2 linked regions of the Drosophila melanogaster genome follow. The protein of the gene in region 1 interacts with the protein of each later gene in a pairwise test. Each region holds a gene or a part of one and is shown in the gene's direction. Other genes may lie near its edges.

What was found. Proteins that work in one complex are often made in the same cells at the same time.
Region 2: the proteins of Atg10 (region 1) and Art3 interact in a two-hybrid assay, tested with the Drosophila melanogaster proteins (one large-scale study listed by BioGRID).

Annotation. Positions count from the first base shown.
Region 1 is NT_033778.4:7,830,297-7,836,060, forward strand, and holds Atg10 (Autophagy-related 10), read left to right. Parts: upstream 1-1,874; 5' UTR 1,875-1,927; exon of another isoform or gene 1,928-2,007; coding exon of another isoform or gene 2,008-2,069; intron 2,070-2,159; coding exon of another isoform or gene 2,160-2,346; intron 2,347-2,405; coding exon of another isoform or gene 2,406-3,395; exon of another isoform or gene 3,396-3,545; intron 3,546-3,637; 5' UTR 3,638-3,641; coding exon 3,642-3,737; intron 3,738-3,802; coding exon 3,803-3,959; intron 3,960-4,016; coding exon 4,017-4,282; 3' UTR 4,283-5,222; downstream 5,223-5,764. Other genes in the region: CG18853 (uncharacterized protein), read left to right, coding at 1-101; Prosalpha1R (proteasome alpha1 subunit-related), read right to left, coding at 215-696, 985-1,161, 1,224-1,299; CG12822 (uncharacterized protein), read left to right, coding at 2,008-2,069, 2,160-2,346, 2,406-3,395.
Region 2 is NT_033777.3:15,227,105-15,231,248, reverse strand, and holds Art3 (arginine methyltransferase 3), read left to right. Parts: upstream 1-1,840; 5' UTR 1,841-1,983; coding exon 1,984-2,005; exon of another isoform or gene 2,006-2,069; coding exon 2,070-3,598; 3' UTR 3,599-3,644; downstream 3,645-4,144. Other genes in the region: CG34316 (uncharacterized protein), read right to left, coding at 1-91, 158-352, 411-631; mRpS10 (mitochondrial ribosomal protein S10), read right to left, coding at 897-1,152, 1,222-1,487; Caf1-55 (chromatin assembly factor 1, p55 subunit), read right to left, coding at 3,903-4,144.

The DNA of each region.
Region 1 (5,764 bases):
TCGGTAAGGTTAGGTACATGAACTATCAGGGATGCCGTCGCAAATTCGATGTAAATGCCTTTGTCATGCGATACGGCGGTAAGGTGCACAAGAAGAAATAAAACGTTTTCGGATTTGCCTTTGTTTTGAATGCAAGCCAAGAGCATTTTTTATTTAACCATAGATCCAAGAGGCTTTATAAAATATGACAAAATTACAGCTAGCGGGACAGAACTTAGTCCTTCTCGGCGATCTTGGTGAGGTGTTCCTCGATCTCCCGCTCATCCAAAATACGGAAAGTGGGATCAGACTTGCTGACCACGCCGATCTCAATGCCGTTCGGCTTGAAGTCTATAGCGAGCACACTGGACAGACAGGAGATGGCCAGCTGGATCGCTTTCTCCTCCGACAAGTTGGGCTTGTACTTCTTTTCCAGATAGCTGTTGGCCTCCAGAGTCTTGGCACCCACGCTGCAGGCCTTGAACCCGCTGAAGTAGCCAGCCGGGTCCGTCTTGTAAACGCTGGGGCCGATTTCATTGTCGTAAGCGATCAGCACCATGCTGCAGCCGAGCGGACGCATCTCGGCATTCTGCGTGTACACCTGGTTGATATCCGCAATTCGACGACACAGCACATCCACGGGCATTTCGTAGCCGTACTTGTAGCGGAAGTTGGCGGCCTCGTATCTGGCCTTCTGCACCTGTGAGCGGGAATCAGCTAGGGGAGAGAAATAATTTTAAGTATTTAGTGACACTCTTGGGTTGATATGTCCTCTTTTCTAGTTGAAGCACCGTGTGAAAACTACGTTTAAAATGGCTCCACGCTATACGCCTTTGCCCTAATGTCTGGCAGGCTATTTCTTCTGATTTTAGCACAATCATAAGTGAATCGCTACTTGGTTACATGGGACATATCAACAATGGGATAACTCTGTGCTAACTCGACTGGAATTTGACTCGAATCACGCCGGGATAAACAAGAATTTAAAGTATCTATGGTTCATACCTATGCGTCCGGTCATTGCGCATCCAATGTCCTTGGTGATGCGGAACAGGTGGGTCACCGTTTCAGGCACGATGTTCTTCTCGGTCACTTTTTTTTGGGTGGCCACCACGGCACAGTCGCCACTCTTCAGCGCCACCGTGGTGATGTTCTCCTGGGCAATAGCCTTGAAGGCGTACTCTGGCGGGGAAATGAGAATGTCAGACTGGATACAATGGAGCCGCAAGTGCCAGGATACTAACCCACTTGGTAGAGGCGTCCCTCCGGAGAGAAGATCGTGATGTGTCTGTCAAAGCCGGCTGAACTTCCGCGAGACATGATGCTTTCTTCGTGCTTCGATAGCTGCAATAGACAACGCCGGTTAAAATTCAGTTCTCAAGTCTGCCGCAAGCAACACACCTTTTGAACAATTAAAATTTACAAATTTGTATATAGCAGGGAAAATGTCGCTTCAAATCGAACCTACTGTGCAAAATTCAGATTGTCATTCTCAGCCCGAAAATGAACCTAAAAAATACCAAAAAGAAACGCGCGCTGGGATATATCGTTTATCATTGAAATCGAATATTTGGAAAAAGCCAAAATAGTGTTAAGCTACGCTTACAAAATGTTTAAATTATTCCTATTTTTATTTGTGAATTATTGTAAATTAGTCAACATAGAGCAAAGGGATTTGTAAAAAAAAATATTAACAAACATATGTAAATTGAAGACAAAACTTTTACTGCTCAGTAACGTTATCTTATATAATTTTTGTTGAGGCTTACAACGTTATTTCTTAAGAAAATGTTTGTAAAAAAAGCTATTGAGCGCAAGCTAAATCTAACTGGAATTAAGGCAGTTGGCCGTAACTAAGCACAGGTGAACCTATCGACAATCGATAACGTCGCGGTGCCGTGCGTAAGTGATGGCCAACTCTAGCTGGATGTAACCATTGAGAATCGAGGTAAATATTGGTCAATAACAGCGGAGAACGCTGCAATTGCGGATTATTTGGGAGTCAAGTGCGCGTTGCCGGCAGCGAAAATGCACGAGGATGATCTGAAGAGTCAGTTGACCATCGCGCGGAACGAGATCAACAATCTCAGGTGCGTTTGAGACAGGCAAATTGCCATGAGTGTCCTTTTGCTACTGGTATAGTTCAAGTTCACACCGATTTTGCCTTGACCATGATGCAGGCAGCAAGTGCGCAACCTGCAGCATGTGCAGCGCAAGGACATTGAGACGATAACCCGCCTGCTGCAGGACTTCCGCTGCGAGGGGTGTGCGAACAACAACAAAAGCGCCAAGGACAAGGTCGCCGGCGAGAAGCAGGAGCACCAGCACCAACAGCAGACGCAGGACCAGCAGACGGGCCAAGGTCAGGTGCGTTTGACCCTCCCACACACTGAAAGACACATACAAACCTCGCACCCAATCCTTAGAGCAATTATACCAATGGTGGGCACTGCTTGGGAGAGGACTACGCACACTTTCGGCCCATAGGAGTGATCCGGACAGCATTCCCAGAGAAGCGGGCCGTGCCGAGGCAGTCAATTGTGGGCAGTCGCCTGCGGGGTATCATCCAACTGAACGACGGTGTGTTCACCAATCCGGAGCACTCCTTGGAGGGACTAGAGGACTTTTCCCATCTGTGGCTCATCTATCATTTTCACCGCAACAATTCCCACCCCAAGGCCAAGGTGGCGCCTCCCCGTCTTGGTGGGGAGCGGGTGGGTGTGTTTTCCACACGATCTCCACACCGCCCGTGTCCCATTGGTCTCTCGTTGGTGGAGATTGAGAAGATCGAGAACGCCACCATTAGTTTCTTTGGTACGGACATGGTAGACGGCACACCCGTGTTGGACATTAAGCCCTACATTCCACACTACGATGCACCATCCTTGAGCGTTGACTCAGGTACGTTGGACGAGAATCAAGCAGAAATGCAACTAAAGTTCTTGCCCCGGACAGGAAGAACCTCTGTTGGACCGCATGAGAGCAGCCTGGACTTCTACGACTCCAGACAGGAGCCTGACGGAGAGGAATCGGACCTGGAACTGTATGGAGCAGCTGGCTACAGCGGGAACGCGGGCATTGGAGCTGACGCTATTCTGCCGCCACCCAGCGCCGTGCGAGTGCCCAACTGGGTGGTGGCCAGCAATAGACTTAGCGTGACCTTTAACGAGCATGCCGAGGCGCAGTTAAAGGAGCTGCAGGTGGAGAAGCAGTGCATCGTGGACATTCTGGAGGCGGATCCGCGCTCCGTTTACTTGCGCACAAAATATGGCTCGCAAATATTTACCTTCCAGCTGCGGGAGGTCACGGTGACGTGCAAATTTGATGACAAGGCCGGCACGGTGACTGTGGTTCAGGTCCGGCGCAACGAGAATGTCCAGGTTACCGCCCTGGACGGCGACCTGCGCAGCGCCTAACTTATGGATTATTGCAATTGATATTCGTTAATTGACGATTTGTGTTAAGCTTAAGTGTATTGTGTTGAGGAGCTTTAACCTTTGGCGTTTCAATTTTGCTCTAGAATACAGGACATTCTTAAATATATGTATGAGGCTTGTTTCCCACGCAAAAGAAATTGTTTTCTTTCAAGTATCGTTACGCGTGGGTATTTGAAGTGTTTAAAGATTTTAACACGCATATTTTTGTGCTTTATTTTCAGCATTATGGGCGACTTGAGCTGGAAAGATTTTTTGAGCCAGGCCAAGCAGTTCCTCGAAATTTCGCAGAAGTTGGGTGATAATTGGATATTGGAACAAAAGGTATCTCGCAGTGCGGATTTTATAATTCGGGCTAATTATTTAATACGTTTTCCATCCCAATTAAGGACTCGAATGAACCAAACACCTATCTCAAATGTAGTCAGAAGATTAAATGCCGAGGTGGCAAGGACAACTCGGCTGAGTTGGTTAGTGTGGAGTACCATGTGGTCTTCAGTGTTTCCTATCAAGTACCAATGTTGTTCTTCCAGGCACACAGATCAGGTATTTACATATTTTACAAAATCTCACTAGATGTGAAAATAAATCCACTTATCGTAGATGGAAGTCTTTTGGATGTGGAGGCCACTTGGCGAATGTTCATGCCCGAATCGAAGGCCAGCGATCTCCACCAGATACTCACCCAGATGGATCACCCGGTGCTTTTCAGACCCTTTATGGCATTGCATCCATGCCGCACCGCCGAAGTGCTAAAGCAGTTCGGAAAGCCCAGCTGCAACCAGGTGCTTACCTTCATCAGTCTGTACGGACCCCACGTGCAGTTGCACCTGCAAAATGCGTACGGCTTAAGCCAAGAGTATACGTAATTTGAATTTATTGGTGGTTTTTTTAAACACTGGTTATAGGAGTATACATGTATGGATAATATGGCTTATGCCCTTTTACAGTTTTACATTTCGTTCCCTATTTTAGAGTGGTTACACCTTAACTGGGGACCCCATCGCCACCAGTTCTTGGCACAAGTGAAGATCCATGGGGCACAGGGTCGTACCATGTGACATGACACCTGAAGCAGCACATCACATGGATAATTTAAGTTAAAAATGAAAAACTAATGAAGTTACGAAAGGAACCCAGCTTTGTACACAGGTTATAACTCCGCTTAGTGAATACATTCAACTACTTAGGCATTATTTATCGCTTAACGTAGTGTATAGTTTTCAAGTTCCACTTGCTATTTTCGTTATTTTTTCTCGGCTAATATCAACTAGTAGCTACTTTTCGATTACTTCGATTTAACATTAGACAGGTATACGCTTACATCTAGTTGTACTGTACACAAGCGTGGCCTTGCTGAGCCGCTTTGCTTTGCATTTTACTAATATTAAGTGGTTCATTTATAATTAATGTTAACTGGCTACTGTGTGGCATTAGCGGCGTCCCGGCGCTGGCACCAAAACCCCGTGTTCCATGCGGAACCGAGGACTCGTGGGCGCGGGGAATCGCATTGAAAATGTTTATTTGCAAAATTAAATCGACTTTTATGTATATTACGTTGGTTTGCAATAGTAGTTCGACAGTATACAAGAGTCCACGTACATTAAGGATTAATCGTGTGCAGTGCGGATATCCTGCTGAGGAAGTCTAAGGTCGGTTAGGATGGCACGTACGAGGAGAACTCAATTTGGACTCGGAAAATGGCTAGGATATCTCGACGCGCTCCATAACATTAGGTGTGAAGTGTTTGTAAAAACTATGGTTAGTCTTCGAAGTAAGCTTTAATATTCCGAACTACTTAGGGGGAGTAACGATTCGAAGGACACATATTATATTGCGAGTATATCCAATTAACATTCCATCTGAGCAGTGCCTCTCATATTACCTAATAATTCAAAAATAGTGCTCTTTGGTTTCGTGCCATTCAATAACTATCAGCTAGTAGTTATTTGATTCTAGGGATACTACGTTTAACAAACAAGATTATTGGTGATTTCACTTTACCAGATTTGCACTACTTCGTGCTTTGCGTCTAAAAATGTACACGTGGTCTGGGAAATGCTTGGAATGTGGTTTTTCGATTTGAAATTTTTCCTGGGCGGTTAAATTTACTGATGGGGGTGAGAAAAGGCTTGGGACAGGGTATTCTTCTATGAGTATTGTATTTGTGAGGACCTTATTGGCACTTAACAAACATATACGACTATACGAAATATATATGCTATGTATGTATTGTTCAACATCCGGTTTGTGTCATCTCAATATATGTGTTCATATATAAAATTTCGTTTAAAGCTGCACCATTTAGTTGACACTTGCATCATGCCAAGTTACATTTGTTTCGCTATATA
Region 2 (4,144 bases), on another chromosome or scaffold:
ACGCAGCTCAATCTGTAATGAAGATATGGCCAGGGGAGACACCGATCTCAATCGAAACGAAATGAGGATTGAAAAGTTTGTAATGGAGGTTCTAAAAGAGAAGTAAATAAATATGCATTTTTGTTCACAGATTGAAATTGAATGAAGATGGCCTTACTCGGCATTGCCATCACCGGCCAAGTTGAGGATATAGGCCAAGGATCCTTTGGCGGTGTATAAGGATTTGAAGTACGTGAGTGGCAAGGTAACGTTAATGGTGTTCTTCAAACCGGGCACCGGGGATAAGCTGAGCGCAGGCACATCAAAATCGGACAATCCGTGCAACTGAAAGTTGTCAATGGACCCAGTGAAGCTAGAAAACAAATGAATTTGTAACGCCTCTAAGCGCACATATTACAGCATTTGCTTACTCCACGAGGTATTTGTTGTTCAGTTCTGTTTCAGCAGGCCCCAACTGCAGTGGGTCCAATGCGGGCAGGCCTAGATTCGGGATTGGGTGGCACATGCGCATACGGAACTCCTGAAGGAACGCCAAGATTTTCGCCTCGTAAACGCAGGCAGCGGGCGACAGGCATGCGTAGAGAATGGCTGTGGCCAGCAGGACCTGTGAAGTGAGTTTTGCCCGCTGCATTCTGCTGATTGATTCGCTTCCGTTCGGTTTGGAGTAGCTACTGGTATGCCAGCGTTCGCCCGCCCTGATTTTGTTTGCTTACTTTTCAAGTGGATCCCATCGTGTGTGTCAAGATACGACTTTTATTTCAATATTCTGCCAAAAACTTATCTTTGCTAATCGCGGACGGGGCCCGAGTACGGCCGATTACCGTGCGGATTGCTGGTGCAATCTAAGCTCATACTGAACTTTTAATAACTAAGGTCTACTGTAGTATTGGCTTCGGCTAAACTTGCTCCGGCGGCTGGCGCAAGTGCTCTGGGATCTCCTGCAGCTCAGTCCTGGAAGCCTGCAGCGCTACGCCCTCGGGCAGATTACGTTCAATATACTCTAGAAATGTATCTAGCGTGGAGCCCGTCAACTTGTGGAAGTTCATATAGCGGAAGTGGGTTCGCACCTCGTACTGTACGCGATGTTTCTTGTAGATATGCACCGACTTCAGGAGCGTCATCCGCTCGTGGTGCGCCTTGCGAGGTGACCAACTGCATGAGGATTAACGAACACATATGTATGTTAGAGATTTCCTTTACCGGAGGATTTTTACCTCTTACCATTTTCCCTTTTCAATGCCCAAATGCTCGGCAGCAGTAGTAGCAAACCAGGTGTAGCTCTTCAGAACTGCCGGATCAATACCCCGCAGCTCAATCTCCAGCTTGCTGTAGAGTTTATCCGGTTCCGGAGCAGGTGCCGCAGGTGAAAGATTGCCTTGTACGCCGGAACTGGTGTTTACCGTGGACAGAGCCCGCATTGGCTGTGTCCAGCGGAGCGTCTTTATAGCCTGGGAATATAAATCTAGATGTTTCATATGCATTTTCATTGATATATGGGATCTAAATACCTGTAACATATTAAAAACTGTATTTACACCTAGAATTATGCAAGTGCGGCAGCCGCAATACTGCTTATAACGCCTTTTCGAAAATACTGAAAAATACTACATACGTAGTGTAAATGTTTCTGTGAGTCTATAGTTACTTACCTACCCTGTAATAAAAATGAAATGTAAATTTTTTTCTTTAAGCCTACTTCTTCCAAGCAGAAAATTAATTTGTTAAAATATCAGCGTAAACATAATTTCACTTTTACAATGTCGTCGAAAGTTATTCTATAACATATATCCCCTGCGATACCCTCTAAAGCAACATTTCAAGTATACCAAAACGCGTTAAGCTATTTTCGTTTCCAAATTTCCGCACGTGTTCGCGCCGCTCAAAACCCCATTTAGTTGGCATTTATAAATTTGTGATCTTCGTCGTGCGATTTGAATTCTTTTCTCTGAAAGCAGGCCAATAGGACTTGCAAACAAAGATAGCATGAAAGACACCGAGGTCAACGGTTCGAGCCCGTAAAAGCTTTTATTTCCTGGAGATGATTACTTATTAATCCCATCCCAATGTAGACAACACCACAGAGGAGGAGCCCGTGAAGGAGGCACCTGAGGTGCCGGCCAATTCCAGCTCCGACGAAGATGAGTACGATGACATAGATGACGATGATGAGCCAATGGACGAAGGCGATGAGCTAACCACTTGTCTGTTTTGCACCGAAACATCTGCAAACATCTCGGTGGCCATTGACCATCTTGACGCCCGGCATAAAGTGAATCTGTCCCAGCTTCAGCGTAAATTCGAAATGGACCAGTATTCCTTTATCAAACTGATAAACTACATAAGAGCCAAAAAGATCAGTGCCGAGCAGTTATTGTCTGCGGAACATCCGCTTTGGCAGGATGAGAAGTACCTCCAGCCCGGGGAGTATGAGCCCTGGCTCTGCTATGACTACGAAGTCCTTAAAACAGACGGCGCTCCGACGCAGCCCTCGGTTCTGGAGCTACAACAGCGGATTGCTGAGCAGTCGCAATTGCTGCAGCAGGCCAACGAGGACATGGAACGCATGCGCAACGACTACAAGGCGCTGCTGCAAAAGGTACATGCTGACGGCGAGCCCAAAGGTTCCGACCAGAGCGTACCGCGTAACAACGTTTGTCTCGACAACGAATACTTCAAAAGCTACGCCCACTTTGGCATTCACCATGAAATGCTCAGCGACAAGGTGCGGACCAGCACCTATCGCGCGTCTTTGCTCCAAAACGAGGCCGTTGTTCGGGGCAAGACAGTGTTGGATGTGGGATGCGGCACGGGAATCCTATCCATCTTCGCCTCCAAAGCGGGTGCAGCTCGCGTTGTCGGCATAGATAACTCGGACATTGTGTACACCGCCATGGATATCATCAGGAAGAACAAGGTTGAGAATGTTGAACTGATCAAGGGACGGCTGGAGGACACAGATCTCCCAGAGACTAAATACGACATTATAATATCCGAATGGATGGGCTATTTTCTTTTGTACGAATCAATGCTGGACAGCATTATCTACGCCCGCGAGAATCACCTCAACCCCAATGGCATAATACTGCCCAGTCGCTGTACACTCAGTCTCTTGGGCTATGGAGACGACACGCTTTATGCCGATGAAGTGGAATTCTGGTCTAACGTTTACGAGGTCGACATGAGCGATCTGCGAAAGCAATCAATAGAGGAGCCACTCATGCAGGTGGTGGATGCAGAGTTCATGCTGACGGAACCCGAACAGATAGCTAACTTCGACATAATGACCGTCGATATGAACTATCCAAACTTTACTCACCAGTTTAGCTTAAAGGTCACGAAGCCGGGACGATTATCCGCCTTTGTCGGTTACTTTGAAACATTGTTTGAACTACCCTCCCCCGTCATGTTCAGCACATCACCATCTGCGACGCCCACCCATTGGAAGCAAACGGTTTTCTTCATCGAGAACCCGCAGGTTGTGAAGGAAGGAGACGTCATTTGTGGGAAAATCACGTCAAGAAGACATAAAGAGGATGTCAGAGGACTTAGTGTGGACATAGAAGTCTTTGGCAAGAAACACAAATACAATGTGGTTTAATGTGCTTCTTTTTGAATAGAATTAAATAAAATACGCTTGAAGATCTAAGTTGGTATTTAATTTCAAAAAAATTAACCTCATTTCTTGACTTTTTAATCATTTTTAATTAAAAATTCATAGATTGTACAATCTGCTGACAAATGAGAGCTTAATTAAATTTTGTTTTTAAAAATATGTAAATATATATAAATTAAAATGAGTACCCATTGCCATTTAGGCTGGATAGCTGGACACGGGGCACGGCCAAAACATTATCGGATTCAGTTGTAGTTTGGTGTGTATTATAGGAGGCGGAACAGATGCTTTAAGCGGTATTGGTTTCTAACTCGGAGGCGGGAATCTCTGGCTCCTCGTCGTTGTAAACATTCTCGGCCATCTGCCAGACCTGCATAATATTGTCCTCGGACACGGAGCAAATGATCCATGGCTCATTGGGGTTCCACGAGAAATCGCTAATCTTGGCAGTGTGACCGCCATGGATGAAGAGCAGCTCGGGTGGTCCGTCCTCAGCATCCTCCGTACTCTGCTCCTCGCCGATTTTGGACA